Drosophila melanogaster: one gene and its partner. The protein of the gene in region 1 interacts with the protein of each later gene in a pairwise test. Each region holds a gene or a part of one and is shown on either strand. Other genes may lie near its edges. The genes, in order: DZIP1 and Cep290.

Evidence for each region.
Region 2: the proteins of DZIP1 (region 1) and Cep290 interact in binary tests that used the Drosophila melanogaster proteins (3 or more experiments, as listed by UniProt).

What each region holds. Positions count from the first base shown.
Region 1 is NT_033777.3:24,513,342-24,518,628, reverse strand, and holds DZIP1 (DZIP1), read right to left. Parts: upstream 3,352-5,287; 5' UTR 3,035-3,351; coding exon 2,941-3,034; intron 2,883-2,940; coding exon 2,098-2,882; intron 2,040-2,097; coding exon 1,309-2,039; intron 1,254-1,308; coding exon 1,097-1,253; intron 1,039-1,096; coding exon 592-1,038; 3' UTR 501-591; downstream 1-500. Other genes in the region: nAChRbeta2 (nicotinic acetylcholine receptor beta2), read left to right, coding at 3,659-3,716, 3,942-4,135, 4,191-4,319, 4,377-4,562, 4,617-4,749, 4,807-4,934. UniProt on the Drosophila melanogaster protein: Component of the DZIP1-Fam92-Cby complex which promotes ciliogenesis in sensory neurons and spermatocytes by acting downstream of Cep290 to initiate early ciliary membrane formation and thus transition zone (TZ) assembly.
Region 2 is NT_037436.4:836,371-854,173, forward strand, and holds Cep290 (centrosomal protein 290kDa), read left to right. Parts: upstream 1-7,555; 5' UTR 7,556-7,995; coding exon 7,996-8,313; intron 8,314-8,370; coding exon 8,371-8,544; intron 8,545-8,597; coding exon 8,598-9,005; intron 9,006-9,070; coding exon 9,071-9,896; intron 9,897-9,955; coding exon 9,956-10,890; intron 10,891-10,948; coding exon 10,949-11,081; intron 11,082-11,143; coding exon 11,144-11,297; intron 11,298-11,354; coding exon 11,355-12,041; intron 12,042-12,105; coding exon 12,106-12,765; intron 12,766-12,818; coding exon 12,819-12,951; intron 12,952-13,009; coding exon 13,010-13,998; intron 13,999-14,063; coding exon 14,064-14,391; intron 14,392-14,454; coding exon 14,455-14,646; 3' UTR 14,647-14,710; downstream 14,711-17,803. Other genes in the region: CG42554 (uncharacterized protein), read left to right, coding at 1-183; CG13901 (uncharacterized protein), read right to left, coding at 413-1,081; CG13887 (uncharacterized protein), read left to right, coding at 1,751-2,254, 2,880-3,062; JMJD5 (jumonji domain containing 5), read right to left, coding at 3,688-4,620, 4,672-4,944; Gr61a (gustatory receptor 61a), read left to right, coding at 5,348-5,492, 5,553-5,744, 5,794-5,988, 6,041-6,207, 6,264-6,386, 6,444-6,598, 6,650-6,902, 6,961-7,041; Dci (Dodecenoyl-CoA delta-isomerase), read left to right, coding at 15,072-15,344, 15,404-15,523, 15,583-15,978; dpr20 (defective proboscis extension response 20), read right to left, coding at 16,911-17,035, 17,099-17,235, 17,300-17,477, 17,536-17,773. UniProt on the Drosophila melanogaster protein: Essential for ciliogenesis in sensory neurons and spermatocytes.

The DNA of each region.
Region 1 (5,287 bases):
AGTTCGCTTATCCGCCGATTGCAGCAACTGCTATTTCCCGTAACCCGTGTATTTTCGGTATACGTTCGTTATGTATGTTATTTCATCGATGGGCACGGGCTGCGTGTGCCTGTGTGTGTGTGCGCCGTGTCCGTGTGCGGATGGAAACTCGGTGCTGGGCTAATCTCGCCCTTTGGTCAGCTGGATGCACGGATTCGCGGATTCACTGCCTCGGTTGCTCACCCCTCTGAGGTTGGCTGACTTCAATCGTTCCGATCCTTAGCCAGCTGCCCTTTTATTGCATTTAATGCACGTTTTACTCGCGACGTACTAAAAAATTTTCATCTACGTTGGTTAGTGACGTCGATTGTTTACAGCGCGAGTCGATTGCCTATCGATTGCCTATCCATTGCACGGCGCGCAGCTATCGGTAAAAGGTAGTGTGACCGGAATATGCAAATTCATTTAAAAAACAATATTTTTTAGTTAAGTACGGTACATTGAACAGGTGATAGGTACTCATAAAGGAATATAATTATCTTATGATATATTGGCTATTAAACGTATCGTTGACATTTATACCCAAAGTATTATAATATCATCTTTATTGACTCATTTTAGGTTATCATCGCTGTCATTGAAGCTCTTCCCGTCCTCCGTGGTGTTGAACATCACCCGCTTCCTGGGCAGCGGAACTGGCCTCGAACTCAGGGACGACTTGGAAGCTCCTCGAATAGTGGCCGCCGGCTTGACCAGGATCTCCTCCAGACGAGCCTTGAAATCGCGACTAACTAGTCTTTGAGGACTGGGGCTTCGAGTTTGCTGTTCGCTGCTATCCGTTTGCTCATCCGTCTGCTCTTCGCCTTGAGAGCTGGCTATATCCTCTTCAGACTTTTCAGAGATCGCAGACCTCGGGATCCCTTTGCCTGGAACCTCCATTGGCTTGAGTGGACTCTTGTGCTTCAGCAACATTTCCGCGCGTTCCGAGAACTTGGCGGAGCACAGTTTTTCGACAAACTTGCGGATGCGATTTCGAGTGGCGTAAAAATGTGGATGTTGCTAAAGGGTATTCCAGAATTGTCAAAAGTTCATTAGTTTTTGGCAGTTATAGGCTTACCAGTTTCAGTTTGTTGCGGTGCTCTGTCAGCTCGGAGTTCACTCTCTTCAAAGAGTTATGCGAAATACCTTTGGACTTCATATCGAAGCCGTGAGACATCAACTTCCGGTTGACCATCTTCCGGGCATCCTTGCGAGTAAGTGGTTTTTGAGGGCTCCTTAAAACATGTGGATTATTATTACTCTAAGAAAGCTTAACATCGAAACACTCACTTGATGATTCTTCCAGAAGGCTTGATTGTTTTTGGCGTTGGATCCTCTCGTGCTGCTTCCGACCCGGAGGTGGGAACATCGGTCCCCTCCTCCTCTGTCAGGCTGCGCTCCTCTTCGTTCTCCGTCTCTTCTTGGCTGAGACTATCGCTTACGTCCGTGGCTTCTTTCGTTTCCTGCTTATTAGGAGCAGGTTCCCTTGGAGATTTCGTATAAGTCGGATTGCTGTCCGAACTTCCAGCACTTGGCTGCTCCTTTTCCACCACTTGAACTTGGGTCACCAGCTGTGGGAATGGTTTCTCCGAACCTTTTCGTGGCGCCTCCTCAATGGAATAGGTGTCATCGTCATGTTTCTGTTTGAGGAACTCGCTCTCCACCTGCTTGCGAATCCGATCAATGTTGGTTTCCTCCTTGCGAACCACCGGCTTGGGTATTTTCGAGGCAACTGGCACAGTCTGCACAGGCTCTGGCTGCACCTTTTGAACACTCAGCTGCTTGAGCTCTCGCTCCAGTGCCCCTAGCTTCTCCTTGTAGCCCTCCTCAAGGTGATAGACCACCTCTTCCAGCCTGTGTGCGCTGACCTTTCCAATCTCTGCCACCTTCTCAGTGAGTATGCGCTCCAGATCCTCCAGACACGGCGTGGCCACCCGATCTTCCAGCGGAGGCGTGCTGGCGGATGCCTGTTTACTCTGCTCGAGTGCGTGGCTCAGGCCCTCCAGCCTCTTGTTAATGTCCTGAAAGGATATAAATTGTAATGGTACTTCCACAGGAGTAAGGATTACTTGATTCTACCTGTATAAACTGTTCGTTGCTCTGCTTGAGCTGCGTTTGCCACTCCTCAAAGTTGCTCAGTCGCTCCGCCAATCCTGTGAGTTGCTCCTTCCGTTCGCTGGCCTCGCTTTGCCTGGCCTCTCCGCTGTCCTCGTCCTTCTCCTTTGGCTCCGCCAGATTGCTCTGTATGCCCACGTGGCGCTGCTCCTGGCGCGGACTTACCCGCTTCGATCCCGTGCTCCGCTCCTTAATATTCCGCTCGGCGGCATTCAGGCGCTCCTTTAGCTGCTTGATCTCCAGCTCCATTTTGATGGTGTTTATCAGGTGCACATCGGTGGCCTTATCCCGATCCTTCTCCTTCCCGGTGGCGGATGTCAGACTTGGCGGTGAGGCCACACGATGCTTCCGACCAATGTGCACATTCAAGGCCTCGTTGCTGATGAAGTTCTTAGTGCACAGATGACAGGGGTATACCACCTCGCGAATGGCCTCGATCTGGGTGATTCTCTTGTGCAGCTGCACCACTTCGTTGTTTGACTCACTCAGGGACTTTCGCAGCGTAGCTATCTCCTCCTGGGCCGTCGTATGCGCTTCCTTTAGATCTGTGACACATTCGTCCAGGTAAGTGCGACAGCACATCAAATACTGTATGGCATACTGAGACATCACAAAGTACTTGGCAATGCCACTGTCCAGAATGTGAGTTTCCAGCACTGTGCCCAGTGGAGCCTCAGAAAGGTGGGTCAACGCCTTGTCCACCAGCTCGAAGTTTTGCTCCCTGAGAATCCGCTCTGTTTCATAGGATCCTGCCGGAAATACCGCTATGAACTAAGTGTTAACTACTTTTAACATAATTTTCCATACCCATAAGTCTCCAATCCAGTGGACCATCGCGATACTGTCTCAGTTTAAAGCCCGTTTCACGGACCATCTGCGGATATTTGCCCTTGAATCCCATTTCTCTGAATCTGAATCACCCAGGACTGCAAAAAAAATCGAAAGTTTGTTTACTTCTTCCTCGCCTTCTTTGTTTTGCTTCCGTTCTTTGCCAAACTTTATCTGCCACTTTTCTTACCACCCTTGTGTGTTTCTTAGTTTTTGGTTACACGTTGCCAAAGCAACTACAACTAGGTTGTCAGGACGACAGGTTGAAAGTAGGGTTGTTGAGCCTCTGAAAATGCATATTACAAGCATGATATCGTAAAAAATGCTCATTCCTATTATTAGGTTTTAAAACTAACTGCCATTAAGAGATTACAGTTTTTAATATTGTTAGTATTGATTAGAATTACTTTTGTTATTGTTCATTCTGTTATGTTATTTTATTATCTTTTAACACAAATAATTCAAAAGAACCGCGAAAGACACGATAAATGGCAGGATCCTTTTAGATAAAACATTTAGGAGCTATCGAGCATCTCCGTTGAAGCATCTGTCAAAAGGCTCAACTCAGTTGCGATTGGACTCTCCAACCGTGAGGTTGTATTAAACGGAAACTCCTAGCAAAATGTGTTAAGTTTAGTTAAAAACCTTCAATTATAAGCAATAAGTAGCACAAAAAGCTAGAGAAAACAGCAACAAAATGTGGCATTGGAGTTTGTTGTGTGTTTTCCTACTTGTTCCGTTGGCGAATTCCACGGGTAAGCTGCGAAAACTTGTGCGTCAGTCCGAGAAAAATCCTGTGAAAATTCCGATACCCTGATGCTGTATCCCAAGTATTTGACAGATGTCAGGAAGCTGCGCCCACAAGAGAGCAAGAGAGCGGCGTCTGCGCAGCAATTTGTTTTGGGAAATTTTCCATTTGTTTGGGAATTTAATTTGGCATTTTTCTCTGTTTTTCCCCTGAATTACCACCACTTTCCTAGCTCCAATAAGTTTTGAGGCAAATCCGGACACCAAACGTCTCTATGATGATTTGTTGAGCAACTACAATCGATTGATTAGGCCCGTTGTGAACAACACGGAGACCCTGACGGTTTGGTTAGGTCTGAAATTGTCTCAGCTGATTGAGGTCAATCTGAAGAATCAGGTGATGACCACCAATCTGTGGGTGAAGCAGGTAGTTATCACTGCCATATACTGTTATTATCTATTATTAATGGATTTTATTAAAGCGCTGGTTCGACTACAAGTTGCGATGGGATCCAGAGGAATACGGCGGAGTTGAACAGCTGTATGTGCCATCTGAGCACATTTGGGTACCGGACATTGTGTTGTACAACAACTGGGATGGCAACTATGAAGTTAGCTTCGATGTTCTCAATAATGTGTTCATAGTTAACTGAAATATATATTATTAGGTAACTCTGATGACGAAAGCCACTCTGAAGTATACGGGAGAAGTCTTTTGGGAGCCACCTGCTATATACAAGTCATCCTGTGAGATGAATGTCGAATACTTTCCGTACGACGAACAAATTTGCTTCATGAAATTCGGTTCATGGACCTACAATGGTGCCCAAGTGGATCTGAAGCATTTGGATCAGGTTAGGTATCTAAATAATTTAACTTCTACAATAAATAACCCAATCTTTTTTCAGATTCCTGGCAGTAACCTAGTGCAAGTTGGCATCGATCTCACGGAATTTTATTTGTCTGTGGAATGGGACATACTTGAAGTGCCGGCTACCAAAAATGAGGAGTATTACCCCGATACACTGGAACCCTTTTCAGGTACGATGTTATTTGTTTTGCATCATTGCATTTCAGTTGAGTATCTTCTCTTTTTAGATATCACATTTAAGTTGACCATGCGGCGTAAGACCTTGTTCTATACCGTTAATTTGATTGTGCCATGTGTGGCTTTAACATTCCTCACGGTGTTGGTCTTTTATTTGCCCAGCGATTCGGGCGAAAAGGTAACAAAGATGGATCCTCCAAATTCAATGATCAAAAATCTGAGAGTGATACCTTCTTTTTTGTGGCACGTAGCATGTTTTTGTTAATTTTAACACGTAGAATTAGATTTCCTATAGCTTAGAAAACTGAAAAATAGCTTTTGTACATATGCTTTCTTTATTTTTATTAAATTTATATTTTTAAAATAATTTTGTGAAGTAATTTCAAATGCAAATTCACTTAAGTGTACTCCCTATAACTTAAAACACTCAAAAACATTGACTCTACAATGAACCTATACCTTAGATGAGCTATCTTTTTCATATGCACAAATCGAACTCCTTTCAATTACTTTAACTATCACTCCCCAATC
Region 2 (17,803 bases), on another chromosome or scaffold:
GATTCTGCCCAGGAGGAGCAGGAACACGATACTTGCGATCAGCGGCTGGCGGGCAGTGGAGACCTGGACCTGCCATCCTTGGCGCCCTTGGAGTTGCCCTCCTTCGATTACAGCCTGTTCACCAGCTCCTCGGCTCCTTCGTTGGCCAGCTATGCCGGCATGGCTGAGAGCTTCCAGAAATAGGCCTGGTTAAGATCCATTTGTAAAACTTCAACTAATTTGAAAGATCTCGTGGTAATGCAGTGCCCGCTGAGTGGTGATTAGGATTTAATTTTAGGCACGTTCTTCATTTCAACGTTTTGTGCAGTTCCCTTTGTGAAGTGTATTTGGGAATTCTCTAAATAAATTAAATTAGGTTAATTCACAATAATAATAATAATAATAATACTTTGTGTATTACAATCTAAGTCGTTTATTTGGCCATCAGACCCTTCAGCAGATCATCCATGTCGGTTTCGGTGTCGACATTCTTGAGCAGAAGCAGCACCTGTGCCTCCATCTCGCAGAGGATATCTGGTTTCTGGTAGGTAATGATCAGCGTGTTGAACTGGTGGTGGACAGAGAGGCTCTCCTGCGCGGGCTTGACCCCACAGCGGTCCAGTTCCGGGACCGGGATGACCTTGTAGTACTTCTTGTTCGAGGTGCGCACGACTATGGCACGCTTCTCGGGATCGGCGGTTACGCTGTATGTGTCCAGGGAGTAGGGCATGTTGCGGATGCGCCACTCAATGTTCTTCTTGGTGATCCGCTTGGTCAGCAGTGGCGCGGTGTTGCTCTCCCGCAGGGTGAAATCTCCGCCGGCCAGGGAGTCCGTTTCCTCGCCAGATCCTGGTGGCTTGTTGCCCGACCAGTTTAACTGACGCGGCTCATCGCCCAGCTCGATTTCCCACTCCGACTCGCCCATGATCTTGTTGCTCTTCGATTTCCAGGCCCGCCGCTGCACGATTCCCGTGTCCATGTTGTACTCCTCGGCCATTTGCCTGCCGTCCGGGAATTTGTAGAGCACCTTGCGGGCGCGGCCACTTATCATGGAGTTCTTCTCCGCCGCCTGCAGGTAGTTTAGCCAGTTCTGGTAGGACATCTCTGGGGATTGATGGGATTACCTAGGCACACGTCTCCGCCGGAGATTCGAATATAACAACTGAACGGGGCAGAAAATTTGATCGATGGCGCAAAGTTGAAAATTTGTTGAGAAGCACATTGCGATGGAAACCTGGCAACCCAGCTGCCAGCTTGTTTACATCGCAAGCCGGGTTACCAAGGCACTTTAAAGCATTACATACAATACCTTATGATCGATTTGTCTTGTAATATTTGGAGGTAATGGTTAATTTTAATGCAAAATACGTACTAATTCTTGCCATTTTTTTTACTTACTAATAAAATGATTTTGAAATTCGAATATTTTCCATGAATTCAGCTTTTTTCTGGCTACCCAATTTACAGTTGATTCCAGCGCGCGAGTTGGCAGCCCCGTGCGTACACAAAAAAACAGAGTTGACGTGGCCGGCGCAGTGACTACATAAAATATACGCATATTTCATCACGGCAGCGATTTAATTATTGCTATTTAAAGTAAGCAGCCAGTCACTCCGGCCGTAGTTTATAAATAGCCACTAGACCGTCCGTCCCGAATCCGTAGACTTAGCAGCTAATTTGGACGCATTTCTGCTTACAGGCGGCAGTCGAAAAAAGCGAAAATCCAAGAAGCGAAAATCGAACGAAAAAGGGAATTAATAAAACATTAAAAATGAGTTTGGTGTGGACTTTGATCGCCGGATTTCTCTATGCGGAAATCGCACTGGTCCTTCTGCTGGTGCTGCCGGTGCTCACTCCTTACCGCTGGAACCGGTTCTTCAAGTCCAAATTCCTATCGATGTTGGGACAACAGGCGCACATATATTTCCTGCTGATCATGGGAATTCTGGTCATTTTCCTCCTGGAGGCCATTCGCGAGATGCGCAAGTACTCCGGCTTGCAGCAGTCTAACGAGGTCCACTTGAACGTGGAGATGCAGCACAGCATGAAGCTGTTCCGTGCCCAGCGGAACTTCTACATCTCTGGATTCGCCATTTTCCTTGCCCTGGTCATCCGGCGACTGGTAAACTTGATCTGCACCCAGGCCAATCTCATGGCCCAGAGCGAGGCTTCCTTCAAGCAGGCACAGAGCGCCACTGCAGCCGCACGTTCCTTGCTGGAGAACAAGAACACCGAGAAGGCCAAGGAAGCCGGCGAGGATACCACTCTCATCGAGGTGAGTCCACGTCCCAAACCCCTGCATCCGATCCCCAGGAATGGCATGTCTAGAGAGCTAACACCTAAGACTTTGGAGTTCAATTGGCTACTACCAGCTGTAAAGATATGGCAATGCATATAGAAGGTGTGGTCAAAATATGGCGAGATAATGTCTTTAGCCGACTAAATCTATAAAATCTATACTTCATTCCACTTTCTGGTACATTTTCTCAATTGGTTTTGAATATAAGATACGAAAAGGCTTTAAATGTAGTCTATTAACGATATAGAACTTTAAATACCAGTATATATCATGATTAAAATCTTAAACGTAAACTTAAATCAGTTTGAAGACCGAGTGAATTTGTCATAGGCTTAGTGCTTTTGTTTTGACCGCAGCTAAACGTTTTGAAACCACACCCAAACACATATGTTGGGCCACGATAAACAGAAGCCACCACTCGAAAGTTTAAACCTCTTGTTAACTCTTTAAACAGCTGTCAAGACTGCGGAGACGTGTGCAAGGACTCACCGCCCGAGTGTCCTAAGTATCCCCACCTAGAGCACCCACCTTATATCCATTCCCAAACACCCAAAACGAACAAAAATCCAATCGAAACTCAAACGAAATCCGAATTTTGCAGCTCAACAAGCTGCGCGAGCGCGTCCAGGAGCTAACCTCCGACTTGAATCGCGAAAAGAAGGACAAGGAGGCGGTTAAGTCGCAGGCGGAGAGCATCAACCGCGAGTACGACCGACTCACCGAGGAGTACAGCAAGCTGCAGAAGAAGATAACCATCGGCGGAGGCGGAAACAAGGATGATTAAACTCACTGGAGCCAAGTCCAACATTTAAATAACGATAAGACTTATAAGCATGGCGGTGGGGCAGCGAAAGCAGGCACATTTAAAAGATTATAACGATTTCAAATCGATAGAAAGCACACACATCTTATTGTTAATCCTCATAGATACAACTACATATACCATTTGATAATGATAATGGGGTATATTGATAATGGTCCCTCAACTCAATGTTCGTTTCGTCCGAAGTTTTGTATTTAATTCGTATGTGTTAAGTTTTGTTTGCCACAGTAACACACCCAAAAAGCGTCGTGGCTATTAAAAGAACAACCAAAAAGTACCCATCCAGTTGTGATCGATTCGATGATTCATCTGTTGGCGCGGATAGTCCACATCATGTCTGATAGTACACGGCAATGACGTCAGACGTCGCAACCTGTTTGCATACTTGGAGCTTAGAAATCGGAGGCGTTACATTATCGGTGTGCGAAAAGGGCATCGAATATGTTTCCTTGATAATTACCCAGAAATGCTAATCAAATTCGCATATTTAGTGATCTATCGTGGTTTTGCAGTGCATACTTTAATCTTAACTTGAACAGAGATCATCCTACATAAATTTGCTGTTCAATAAACTGCATTAAAATGCTTACTCCCACCAGAAGCTTACAGAGAAGCTAGGAGCTTCAGATCTCACATAGTGCCACCATTTGGGTGGCATGTACAAACAGTCACCAGGTTGCAGGAGCAGCTGGTAGAACTTCACCTTGGCTACCAAGGGATATGTTTCAGGATCCAGTTGAGCAGCATCTATTCGCGCTGTATTGGCCAAAAACTCACTGTCGTGGGGATACAGATTGTCTGTGTCTGCAGGAGCAGCTAGGATGATCCTCTTCGAACCGAATACCTGGCACAGCAAGTTGTGCTTGGGATCGTAGTGCATGGGAGATACGGTTCCAGCTGGTCCCAGCCAGGCTTTGATGTCCACAGCTCCTGGGGTATCTTCGTTGCTGATGGTGCAGTAGTCGGGAATGGATATATCCTCTTTGAGGGCTGGTATCTGGGCGAAGAGCTCGTGCTGAGCGAGATACTCGATATTTTGGCCAGCCTTGCTTGGTTCCTTTCCGAATTGTCTGCTCAGGAAGTCGCGGATCTTCACCAGCTGCTGGGACCATTCATCGCTGGCATAGTTGGAACCTATTTCAATGGGCACCGTGCGATTCCCGGCCACTTGGAGAAGGTAATTGAGATCCAGCCATTTGTGCAGTGCAGGCCAATGCTGGATGGTGTTGAGCAGGAGTGTGGGTTGTCCTGCCTCAAAGCACTTTGTCTGGAACTCTTCTAGACTGGGAGCGTCCAGTTGGGGTATATCACAGTTGGAGGTTACTCGGGTTAATGGCTCTAGAGTTGGAAGTGGTGCGGAATTCAGTGCTACTGCTCCATCCTTGTCGAGATAATCCATTAGGGCGACTTTCAGTTCACTCCAATCCTCCATGCAACCCAAAAGTTGAGCCTCATCGAGGATCTCACTGCACGCATCCTTCTGGGCGGGACTAGTGCTCTCCAAGAGAAGGAAAAAAATCTAAAATGTATATTTGTAGTTTGTATGGCTTAGTTAGCATCTAAATCCCACCTTGAAGCAACAGGCTATGGCGTATATCTTCCTCGTGACCAAGGGAACCTGGCTGAAGTGCCCTGTGTGAATGCGTTCCCAGTTCCTGTCCACCAGCGCACCTACCAGATATCCGGTTTCCTCCGCCCCGGAATCTCCGCCAGACCTCAAGTTCGCCAGGTGATCCGCGGCTCTTTTGAGTATGTAGCGCGCCTCGACTTCACCACGGACCACATTTTCCAGATCCACCCAGCGGGGCAGCAGCTGCGTCAGCTCCAGGAACTCACTATCCATAGAATGTTAAACAACTATTATTTGTTTACCTTTTAGCTTACATTCAGCGTTGCCAGAGTTCATTTGTAAGCATTAAATATTTCGATTAATCGATGTTTTAAAATATATTTAAAAATTGATGAGTTGTTCAGTACTTCAAACATGTATTGCTTAAGGATGCCTTTAGTAAATTATAAATAGTAGCTCCGTGGGTCCTTCCATGGTGAAGATACATTTTGCACTGGCACGAAATGGAAAAACGATTTCCATGGGCGGAGTTATGACCGCCGTTTTGGACGCCGAATGGCATTGTGTGCCCCAAGTGCCACTAATTACGGGTTTTAGACTAAGCTGCAGCTTGTAAACAACAATCATGAGACAAGAACCCGGATAGTGGAATTGCTGACGGTCAGAGCTGAGGAGCATGTCGAGGACTTCGGATGACATCCGGAAGCACCTGAAAGTGCGGCGCCAGAAGCAGAGGGCCATTTTGGCCATGAGATGGCGCTGTGCCCAGGGAGGATTGGAGTTCGAGCAGCTGGACACCTTCTACGGAGCCATCAGGCCATGTAAGACCACTTTTCCAAACCACTTTCATATGTGTCTAAACATATTACAATGGACAATAGATCTGTGTGTGGCGCAGTTCTTCGGCATTATGCCTTTGTCGAATATCCGGAGTCGCGATCCCCAGGATGTGAAGTTCAAGGTAAGGAGCATTGGCCTGGCAGTCACCGGTCTCTTCCTTTTGCTCGGTGGCATGAAGACCTTGGTCGGTGCCAATATTCTCTTCACAGAGGGTCTGAATGCCAAGAATATCGGTGAGTTTTAGATGGTATGGTAGTGTGATCCCAACTGAAAGCTCAATAGTGGGTTTGGTTTTCCTTATCGTGGGCATGGTCAACTGGCTAAACTTCGTGGGCTTTGCTCGCTCCTGGTCGCACATAATGCTGCCCTGGAGTTCGGTGGACATTCTGATGCTCTTTCCGCCCTACAAACGTGGCAAGCGAAGCCTTCGGTCAAAGGTCAACGTCCTTGCTCTGAGTGTGGTCGTCCTGGCAGTAGGTGAGATTTCTGGGTTATCCTTTCAATGGTTTCCAGAAGAACTTTCTTTCAGGCGACCACATGCTGTACTACGCCTCTGGCTACTGCAGCTATAGCATGCACATCCTGCAGTGCCACACAAACCACTCGCGTATTACCTTTGGACTTTATTTGGAGAAGGAGTTCTCCGACATCATGTTCATCATGCCATTCAATATATTTTCCATGTGCTATGGATTTGTAAGTTAACTATATATATTTTAGTTAGTTAGTTTGAATAATGCTCTCTTTTTTAGTGGCTAAATGGAGCCTTCACCTTTCTGTGGAACTTCATGGACATCTTTATTGTGATGACCAGTATTGGACTGGCGCAAAGGTTTCAACAGTTTGCCGCTCGAGTTGGCGCACTGGAGGGTCGTGTAAAATAATCCAAACTATTTCAATGTATTTCTCTTTTAAATCCCCATCCCATTTAGCATGTTCCCGAAGCCTTGTGGTACGACATTCGGAGGGATCACATTCGCCTTTGCGAGCTGGCCAGTTTGGTGGAGGCCAGCATGTCGAATATAGTGTTCGTATCCTGCGCTAACAATGTGTATGTGATCTGCAACCAGGCGTTGGCTATTTTCACGTGAGTCATCTGTTTGTAGCTACCCCCTAGTCTCATTTCAAATCTTTTTAGCAAACTGCGGCATCCCATAAACTACGTTTACTTCTGGTACTCGCTGATCTTCCTGCTGGCCAGGACGAGTCTGGTTTTCATGACTGCCTCCAAGATCCACGATGCCTCGCTTCTGCCCCTGAGGTCCTTGTACTTGGTGCCCAGCGATGGCTGGACGCAGGAGGTGCAGAGATTTGCCGACCAGCTGACCAGCGAGTTTGTCGGATTGTCTGGATATCGTCTCTTCTGCTTGACAAGAAAGAGTCTCTTCGGAGTGGGTAAACTTCACGAGTCTTCACGATTCCCATACTGATCCCAGCCATCCTCTCCAGATGCTAGCCACCCTGGTGACCTACGAACTTATGCTGCTGCAAATAGATGCTAAGAGCCACAAGGGACTGCGGTGCGCGTAACTAAATGAGTGAACTTTAGTCCAGTTTAACTTAACTGAATGTATAATAAAATAGTCAGATAATCAGATTTGAAAAAGGGTAGATTCCTGCGAGGAAAAGTCAGTTAGCAGCTCATGTGTGAGTTCAGCCAACCCGACTCGGGCGGTTATTAAATGGCCAAAAGGCTTCCAGGATAATTGGCCATTCCGAGTGTCATTTCAATTTCAATTTTTGGCCAGCTGTCATTCAGCGAGGGCGAATCCACAAATGGGAGGGCAACCAAAGTCGCTTGCCATTAGTTTCAATTATTGCTACACATGTAGGCAAACGTAATTTTGAAGGCAACTCGATGAGTTTTGAAAGGAGAAAGGAGTTGGAGTGCACTGAAAAATATGTTCGGAAGCTAAAGTTCTAAATAATAATAATCTTATCTTTACTGCTTACTTCTAAACCCTTTCAAAAGCCACTTGGTGTGCTCTGAACTAAATACCATTTTTTTTTCGAGTGTAAGAAAAGTTAACAGAAACACGAGAAGGCGGCGGAAAAGTCGCTTCGAACAGAAATGGCTTTTCAATTTCAAAACTCGGCCTTTGACACTTTGCCAATTAACACTTTCCTGGTTACCGATTGCCATTTTTGTTTGTGGTGGGCCACCGGCTGCTCCCACCGCCGATCCTTGCCGCTATAGCCGCCGTTGAGGCAATTATCCTGTCAGGAAACTTTCTACGCAGCCGAAGCAGCTAGCAAAACAGAACGCCAGCAAAAACAAAGGTCCTGCAGGTTGGTCACTTGAAAGGAGCGCGCCGGCACCCTCGTTTCCGGAAAAGCAACCCCCGAATGGGTTTTCAGTCGTAGTTTGTTTTGGGCCAAGTGTCATGGCAACCGGAAAAACTGGAGAGCTGGTGTGGAAAATCGGGGAATATTTGGACGCAGAACGTGAGTAACCGCCGAGGAGCGAGGCCATGAGCCACCAGGATGAGCATGGACATACCAGAGACCGTATCCCTGCGCAAGTTCCGCGACTTTTCGGCGCGCCAGAAGCAGGAGCTCTACGAAACGCTCCTCGAACTGGCCGAGTCCATCGATGAGCTGCCTAAGAAGTCGCTGAGGAAAACCCTGGAACTCACCCTGGCCGTTTTGGAGTACAAGGGCGAGCAGGTACAGCAGCTGCAGGAATCAGCAGCCGGAGGACTCTCCTCCGACCGCCGCCTGCAGGATGAGAATGAGAAGCTGAAGCGAATGCTCCAGAAGTTGGAGGACGAACGCGATGGCCTGAAGAGCAAAGCCAAGGAGGTGAGCAGTAGATCATGTAAAGTACCCAAGCTCAAGGATACGCTTTTTTCTCACTAGTTGGGGGAGGAAATCCGTCAGTTGGAGCTGCGCCTGCAGGAGGCGGCGCAGCAGGCGGAAATCAGCGACAAGGATTCATCGGATCCCCTGTCCGAGCTGGACAAGCAGGAGCAGCTGCTGCAGAACATCGACTCCAAGAACAAGCACATCAAGCGGCTGCTAAAGGAAATCGAGGTGAGTCATATTATGTTTTGCATTCAGAATATACTATATTCATTCCCTTTCAGACACTGCAAAACCAAAACATAGCTCAATCGAAGACCATAGTGCTCCACGAGCGGGAGCTGCAGACCATCAAGGCGAATCTCGTGCAATTGAGCCAGGACATCACCAAGGTGGAGCAGGAGCGCAAGTCCTTGAAACAAAAGGAGCAGCAGCAGGCGCTGGAAATCACTCGCCTGGAAGGAAATCTAACTTTCCTGGAGGTGGAGCGCGAGAAGCAGGAGGTGGAAATGCGTCAGTTCCTGGACAAATACGAGGCCAAGTCGCTGGGCTGGAGGCAGGCGCTCGACGATCGGGACAAGGAGGTGGAGCGTCTCAAGAAACAACTGGAGGGCAAAAGCATCAGCTCTGGCCAAACCAATTCTTCCAACAGTCAGAGTCAGCAGGAGGAGGAGCACGCCAAACTACGACAGGTAAGGATGAACTGCCGATATATTTTATCTAGATCTTGAGCTCGCTAAATGTTCATCCCTCGTAGCTTTTGGAATCCCGGGAACAACGCATCGAGAAGCTGGAGGAGAAGATCAAGTCAATGGCGGAGGAGATGGTTAGCTCCACGCGTGCGATGAACCAGTTGTGTCAGGAGAAGGAGCGAGCCCACGATCCCGAGCAGCCGCGAGCCTGCTGCCAGATGATCGAGGAGCGCCTGCGGGAAGCCACCGCCCGGTGTCAGCAGCTCTCGGAGATGCTGGAGGCCGCCGAGCAGGACAACGTGCTCAAGTCCCAGCAGGCCCTGCACGCCATTAGTGCCCTGGAGGCCTACAAGCGTGACGAAGATGGCCTCATTCCCGCTCTGCGACGCTGCTCGGGATTGGAACAGAAGGTGGCAGCACGCGACAAGCAGCTGAGGGCCTACATCCAGGAGCTGAACTCCCTGCACGAGGTGGTCCAGGAGAACGAGCTGCTGCGGCGAAAACTTCACATCCCCGACGATGTGGTCATCATGGCCAAGAACGTCCATTCCAAGCAGCGCAACAAGGACAAGCAGATCGAGCGACTGACCCTCAAGCTGAGGACATCCGAGGAGCTGCGTCTGCAATTGAAGTTGGAAAAGAGTGAACTTAGGCGGAAGCTCTTGGAGTTGCAGCAGGACAGTCCGCAGACCTTGAACGAATCGCTGCAGGCGCCCAGCGAAGTGGGTGAAGTGCCTCATAGTGTGCATCTGGAGAATTCGCCGAGACGTGGCCAAGGCGACGGGGCAGCCAGTTCCGAGATGCAGAATCGATACGACGAAGTCCTGGCCGAAAATGAAACACTACGCTCCGGCATGTACGAGATTCTGGAGAAGCTGCGGGAATATGATGGTGAGATAACCATAACATATTTCTTGAATAACTATATGTATTAAACATTATCCATGTAGCCACCTCAGAGCACATAACCATCGATTCCGATCTCTTGCGCCGCCTCATCGAAGCTCTGCCCGGCGGAACGACCACTCCGCAGCGACTCCAGGGTCAGCTCCTAGAGCTGAAGGCCCGAGAGGAGGCACTGCGTCAGCTGCTCGAGCAGCAGAACTACAGTGACTCCGAGACGGGAGAACTGTCCTCTGTGCATAGTCTGTGCGAGGTTCCCGAGATTGCAGAAGAGCATCCTGTCGAGGAGGATGCTGTGCTGAACACAGCCACCAGGCCAAGCTCGCCCACTGAAGCCACGATGGGATTACGCAGACCCACTGTACCAGATCCCGAGGAGAAACCCACGAACGAGGCCCTGGCTGAGCTCTCCATTCTGCGCAAGCACTACGACGAACTTCGTCTTCATATGTCCGCCGATGGCAGTGATCTGATGAATCGCAACCAAGAGCTCCACGATCAAATGATCGCTTTGGAGTTGCAGTTGGAGCAGCAAAGGAATTCCTACTCCTACATGCGCAGGGATTACGATCAACTGCTGACGGAGACCAGAAAGCAGGAACTTCGCTTCATAGATGATAAGGCGTCTCTAGCCAGGCAGTTGGAGCATAGCAAGAGTGAACTATGTGAAGCTAGAGAGGAGTTGGAGCAAGTGAATCGAAGGAATCTCTACACTGCGGAGGAGCAGCAAAAGTTGGAGCACAGGAATGCCATCTTGAGCATGCAACTTGGCCAGGCGATGGAGCAACTGCTGGGCGAGCTGAAGCCCACGGAAATATGCGCTGAGTACGGTATAATCAGGGAGAACTATCAGCTGGATTACATCACAGCCCAGGACTTCGAGGAGCAGCAACAGGAGCTGCTCACTTGGAGGAGCAAGCAGGCGGAGCTGCAGAGGGAGACCAAGCAGCTGGAAGGACTGCTCCATGTGGCCAATGAGCAGGTTGGAGATTCTCCTTGATACCTACCCATGGGAGATCTAATGCCCATCCTCTTTCCAGATTCACTCCCAGCAAAGGCTGCTCAATGAGATCACCGATAACCACATCAATCTGCGTCACCTGGTGGCCGATCTTCAGAGCAGCTCCGACGAGAAGCTAATGCTGGCCAAGGTCCAGAGGGATCTGGATAGTGGTAAGCACAGACTTATTCGAGGAGAAGATCAGTAGCCAGCATGTCTCTCTTTTTTTTTTTAGTGAAAGCCGAGTGCTCCCGCTTGGAAACAGAGCGAGAAAAACTGCAGCTAAAGGCGGACTGCCTGCAAACCCAACTGGAGGCCAGCGAGTTATCCCTGAAACAGACGCAACAGGACTTCCAGCAGGAGCGCACCAATAGCGATATTAAGCACAAGTGAGACCAAGTGGTGGATAATCCCTAGCAGATCTGACTTTCTACCAAATCCCACAGATTCCTCCAGCATTCATTGTTTATGCTCAAAGATAAATATGCCAAATTCACGCCACTGGTCTTCCTTACCAACTTTGTGTTCGCCTACCAAAAGTTCCAGCGTCGCCTGGAGGAGGAGCAAGTGCAGCAGCGACATAGAGATCACACCGCTCTGATTGATGAAGTGACCGCCGTGGTCCAGGCCAAAATTGGTCTCAACGAGGAGAGTTCCCAGCAGTTGGTGAAGCTCATAAAGTCTGAAACACAGACGAGACTCTTGGAACAGCGCTGCGAGATTCTGCAGGCCAAACAGGAGGAGCTCGTTCGGGAATTGGGTGAGTTGAGGATGAGCCAGGCCACCGACACCGAGCACTGGAGCACCATCCAGGCCTTGTTCGGTGAAGGAGAGCCAAGAAGTCAACTCAAGGTGGATGCAGAGACGAATACCGATGCAGTGGCTCCTAATCTGGCCATGAGAAGGGCCGTCCAGTTGATAGACAGGGAGTCATCGCCCATTGGGTCGCCTCTCCGAAAACATCCGCACCTGGATACAGCCACTCAAACGCTGGAGGCGCAAGTTGAGTTCTCGGAGACGGCAGTCCAAACCAATGGCATTCTCAGCCAGCAGAATCAAGCCGTTCAGACAGCGGATGCAGTGGAGGACAATAGGAGAGATTCCCGCGCGGAGCTACAAAAAATGCAAGAAACGTAAGTTCCCCCAAGTAAAAAATGTAAATAACTATTTGCAACTATAAATGGTGATGCCCAACAGTCTGCAGGAAGCCAACCAGCGCATCGAGATCCTTGGCAAGCAGTTGGAGGCTTCCAGATCGGAGAGTCGCGAGTCCGCCAGTCCGCAAGGTGGTGTGGTGGAGAAGACCATACTCTCGTTCCACACCCTGCTCCTGGAGAAGGACCAGTCCATACAAAAGTACCAGGACCTTCTGCAAACCGAGAGGGATCAGAGTCAGCAAGCACTTAGCAAACAGGTGGCTGAAAACGAATCCCTGAGGGCCACGGTTAACAACCTGAACTTCAACATCAAGACGAAGGATGCAGAGATTCAGGGCCTTAAGGAGAAGCTGAGACAGAAACCCGAGGTCCCCGTGGAGCGCAACCCGTCGACGGATTCGAGGTCCAGTTCCAGTTCCGATAGCTCGGTCAACGAGCTGACGGATGAGAAGATCGAGGAGCTCTTCGAAAGCAGCTCAGTGGAGAGACCACCCCAAGAAGAGTTGGAAGTGCCAGTGGAAGCAGGTCCAGAGAACATAGTTACCGAAGAGCCCGAAGGTGAGGAGGAGAAGCAGGACACCGAGGAGCTGAAGGAAGTGCCGACGCTGCACAAGCAAATCAAGGATCTCAAGGACAAGCTGGAGTACAGCGAAAGGAGCCTCAAGACGAGGGAAGAGGAAGTGGATATACTAAAGGAGAAGTAAGTTGTAAAGTAAGTAGTTGTGCATGATCTTAATCCGTTACATTCGACAGGTTGAAGCTGTGCCAGGAGCGGGAGAAGTCGGTCGAAAGCACCGTGAATCCCGAACTGGATCAGCTACGCATCTTTCTGGATGAGAAGGACAAGCACATCAAGGATCTGATGGATACACTCAAGAACTTCCACGTAATGCCCAGCAATACCATCATATTCATCTCTACTATTAAAAGTTTTAAACATGCAGGACGACCAGCAGCGCTACATCAAAGACACCTCGAACTTCTCGGAGGACCAGATAGCCAAGCTGGCTGCCGATCTCAACCGCACCGAGGCCACCAACAAGATCTATCACACCCAAATGGAGGCACTTCGCCGCCAGCTGGCCAACGTCACCCAGCGCGAAAAGCAGGCCAGGGATCTCAGCCAGTCGCTGCGCCAGCAGCTACTCAAACGCCCTGTGGTCTCCATTAAAACGGAACTGAATGCCCGGGTTAAGAACGAGAACCAGCTGAAGAGAATCCAGCAGCTGGAATTGGACTTGGACGAGGCACGTGGCCAGCTGCAGCGACAGCAGACGCTCCTGGAGGCCAAGCGCACGAGGAGTGCCAATGAGGTGCAGCTCTGGGAGAAGCAGAAGCGGTACCAACAGCAGGCGGAGAAGACCAAGGCCCGGCTGGAGGAGACCGAGCTGGCGCTGGAGAAGACCCGTGCCCTTCTCCAGGCAGCGCGCACCACAATAGCGCGCTTGGAAAAGGACAAGCAAATCCTGGAGTCCAAGCTGGGCAGGAACGGTCCGCCGAGCAACAGCTCCGGTGGCAATAACCTCAAGTGCTGCCGCACTCCATCCTGTCCGAATCTCCAGCACGTGGGTGTCAGCAAGTTCGCTCCATCGCCTTCGGAGAGTCCGGAGACCTACACGGGTCCCAGCAGCGAGTGCAGCTCTCCGGCGCATCATCACACCCAGATCTTTGACCAGAGTCAGTTGGACCTTATTGAGGCGCTCAAGTCGCGCATTGAGCTGCAGCAGCGCAAGATCATCGCCATGGAACTGGAGGGCAGGGGCAGCAATGCCCTGACCACGGAGCTGGAAAAATTGCAAGAGCGCTGCCAGGCCATCGAGGCGCAGAACATCCGACTGGAGGCCAGGAACCTTCAGCTGCAGCTCGACTCGGATCTCTTGAGGCAGGGCGACAGCAGCGATCGGCTGCAGAAGCGAATCAAGCACTTGGAGGAGTGAGTAGAGAGCGGCAGTTTCCACGCGTGTGAATCGAGACTTATGCACCACCCCCATTTTTCAGCTACATCATGGCCCTGAAGGAGGAGATGGCTCGCAACGAATCCCGTCGAGAGTTGGGCAGTGGCCTCAAGGTGAGCACAAATCAGGGCCAATCGGCGGAGCAGACGATCCTCTCGCTGCGCAATCTCGTGGAGAAGTTGCGATCGGAGAACAAGTTCCTGAAGGATGGTCGACGATCCACGGAGTCGCGCAGCTCCATGGACTCCACGCCTGCAGAGGCGGCACGTCTGCAGCAGCAGCATGCAGAGGCGCTGGAGAAAATCAGTGCTCTGCAGCAGGAGTTGCAGAAGCGAACCACCAAGTGCAGCCAATGCGGGGGACGCAGCAAGGTAGGTACCGCTCGTAATAATACACCTTCGGCAATAATTGTGTTTGAAATTTAAAAAAAAAAGGACGCTGCCAACGAGGAGCTCAAGTTCATCAAGGAGCAGTTGGTGAAAAAGACGCAGCTGCTGCAGAAGGCAAAAGTACTTCTGACCCGTGCTGCCGCCAAGGAAAAAGTCCTGAGGGAACAGCTGGCCTTGTGGAAACGCAAGTGCTCCGAACTGCAAAATGTGCCCGTGATCGATGAAATCAGCGAGTAACCAGTATTGATCATAAGATGAATGTTGTACAGGAAAAAAGAGGAATAAAACTAAAGTTTTTTTCACTGCTGCTGTTTTGAATTTGGCGCCCAATGCAGAGTTGCCAGATCGAGGTGGGCTAAAATCGTTGGGGATGTGAAAGTTACGGGATTCCCCCGAATTTTGTTTTACAGGATATTTAAATTTATTTAATAGGATATTTAAACCATGAAATAATGTATCTTTTGCCAGATTAAGAAAACACTAAGCCATTTGCCAGTCACAGTGAACAGTTCACCAACTATCGCTTATCAACTGTATGGCTTGGAATACCCCTGATGCCCACTAATCGGATGAATTAAACAACAATAGCTACCGGCAATCACAGTAAAATGATCCACTGATTGGACTTTGTCGCTCATTCCGCGCACAGCACTGGCAGCAAGATGACCTACCAAGGATACAAGGAACTGCTTGTGGAGCAGCAGGGCAAGCTGCTCGTGGCCAAGTTCAACAATCCGAAGAAGAAGAACTGCATCAACAGGGTCGCCTACCAGGAGATGACCCGTGTGTTGACCGAGGTCAACGACGATGAGGGCGTAACCATTGTGGTTTTCACCGGCGTGGGTGACATCTTTACGTCCGGCAACGACTTGTCCCAATCCTCCAATACCGATGACATCGACGCCTTCTTCAAGCAGTCCAATGCGACTTTCAAGGTGGCACATCTGTATATCCCATTTCATTTTTTTATAATTTATCCAATCCCTACTTGAAGGCCATGGTTCTGAGCTTCGTCAACTGCAGAAAGATTGTGCTTGCCCTGGTGAACGGACCTGCCATTGGGATTGGAGCCACCATTGTGGGATTGTGCGATGTGGCTTGGTGCTCCGAAACGGTGGGTATTGCCTCAAATTTGCTATGGCAGCATGACTTGACTGATAAATACCATCGCAGACCTACTTCTACACGCCATTCACCAAACTGGGATTGGTGCCAGAGGGCGGTTCCTCCTATATGCTGCCCCTCATCTTGGGGCGCTCAAAGGCGTCGGAAATCCTGCTGCTAAGCGAACCGCTGAGCGCCCAGGAGGCATATCAGTTCAACTTTGTTTCGAGGATCTTCAAGGCCAGCGAATTGGAGTCGGTGATTTGGCCCAAATTGCGTCAGTATTCCGAGCTGCCGACGAACTCCCTTCTGCAGGGGAAACGCCTCGTCAAGGATGGCTTCCTGGAGAATCTCATCAAGGCCAACGAGGCGGAGTGCAAGCAGCTGCTCCAACAGTTCCAGCATCCCGAGTTTGCCCAGGCCATCATAGACTTTGCCAGCCGTAAAAACAAGGCGAAATTATAAATACGGCTTAAGTTTATTACCGTCTCAGTGATTTTGTCCGCCTATTTTAAAACCCAAGAGATATGAATGCTAATTCTTGTGGCACAAACATCAAAGCAAATAGACTTCTTAGCGATTAGATTAGGGACATAATGTGTGCCTTTTGCACCATAACCATAGGTTAATCTCTTGCACTATCTGTGTATGTACATATGTACCAATATATTGCCAAAGTGCTGATTAAAAACAATTGAAGAACGCCACCTACCTGTTTGTGAATGAATCGCACAGCTGTGGTCAAGATAATAGAATGTGTAATATATGAATAAATATATAAATATATTTTAAATTCCATCGATGTTCCCGCCCTTCTGCGAAATTCAAATTGGATTCATGTATAGTTCACTTTATTATTGCGTACATACGAGTATTCGTTTATTAACATATCCTTTGATGCTTCTGCCGCGAGTGTGTATGTATATAATATGTATATGACCGTATTGCACTTTATACTAGTTCAACATTGAGTGAGTAGTTCCCCCAGGAGCTCTGAGATCCTTGCCGCACAAGCCGTGATTATGAACTGGTGGTGACTTAGATTACACTACGCTTTACATTCCTGTATCAACTAGATCTATATAGATCTAGATCTAGGCCAGACCATGAACTCTGACTGTGAGACACTCTGCTAGGGAAATTCGTTGGCCTCTCTCCGGATTTCAAATACACTCGAGCTTAGTCCTTAATCCTAGCTTAATCCTACGCGTGCCTGCTCATGTACAAATTGATGATAGACGTAGAAACATATCTATAATAGCCAGTTAAACTTAGGCTGCGTTTTAAGTTATTTCCAATAACTGCCCCTCCAAATTCAAAAACTTTACAATTAATCAACAAAAAGAGCTACGGGAGAACGATGTTCTCTCAATTTACCTAGTCCTAGTTAAGCTACCTTAGCTAAACTCCCCCCTTAGACTATTTAGCACAAGGAGTGCCATTGCATGCAGCATCACCATATTCCACCACGTGCTGTGCCATCCAACCGCACCACCATGATGCAGTTCGGCGAAGCTTTCGCCTGGAAGAGATTGCTGATATGATATGGGTTCCTACTCTAGATGAATACTCTACACCAACTCACCGTTCAGAATGTGAACCACTATGGTGAAGTTCTGGAACTCACTGATGGAGCATGTGTAGTTGCCGGAATCCGTTTTACTGATCTTCGCTATCGAGAGCGTCGAGTTGGCTCCATCCTCCATCAGTTCGGTTTTGACGCTGCGAGGATACGTAATAAATGAACCTTACTGATGGTGACCCCGACCAAGCTAAATTCACTCACCTCACTCCCCCGCGAGTAACGTCGTAGTTAAGGATGTTGTCCATGTGCTTCCAGAAGACCACGGAACTGGTCATGGCCACGTTTCGCACCACACAGGAGAGCTGTAGCGTGGAATCGATCTCGTAGTACTTCTCCTGCAGCGGATCACCCACCTCGTCCACTATCATCACTTTCGGAGCTGTGTTAAAGCATACTAAATCCCTTTCTTGCTACCCATCAGAGAGTTGGATATTCACCATTAACGTGCAGGTTGATTTGAATGACGCGTGGCGGATGCGTTGAGATCTGGCACTCGTAGATAGCCTCGTCGTCCTTCTTCACATTGGTTATCTTCAGTCGCCAGTTGTTTGGGTACTGGAACTCCATCTTGTAGCGCTTATCACCCGTATACGTGTGCATGCCCACTGTCAGCAGGTCCAGGGCGTTGCCATTGTCCTTGCCCTCGTCCTGCGTGTTGTGCCGCACCCAAGAGACCTGTTTTTAAAGTTAAATAACATACATTTT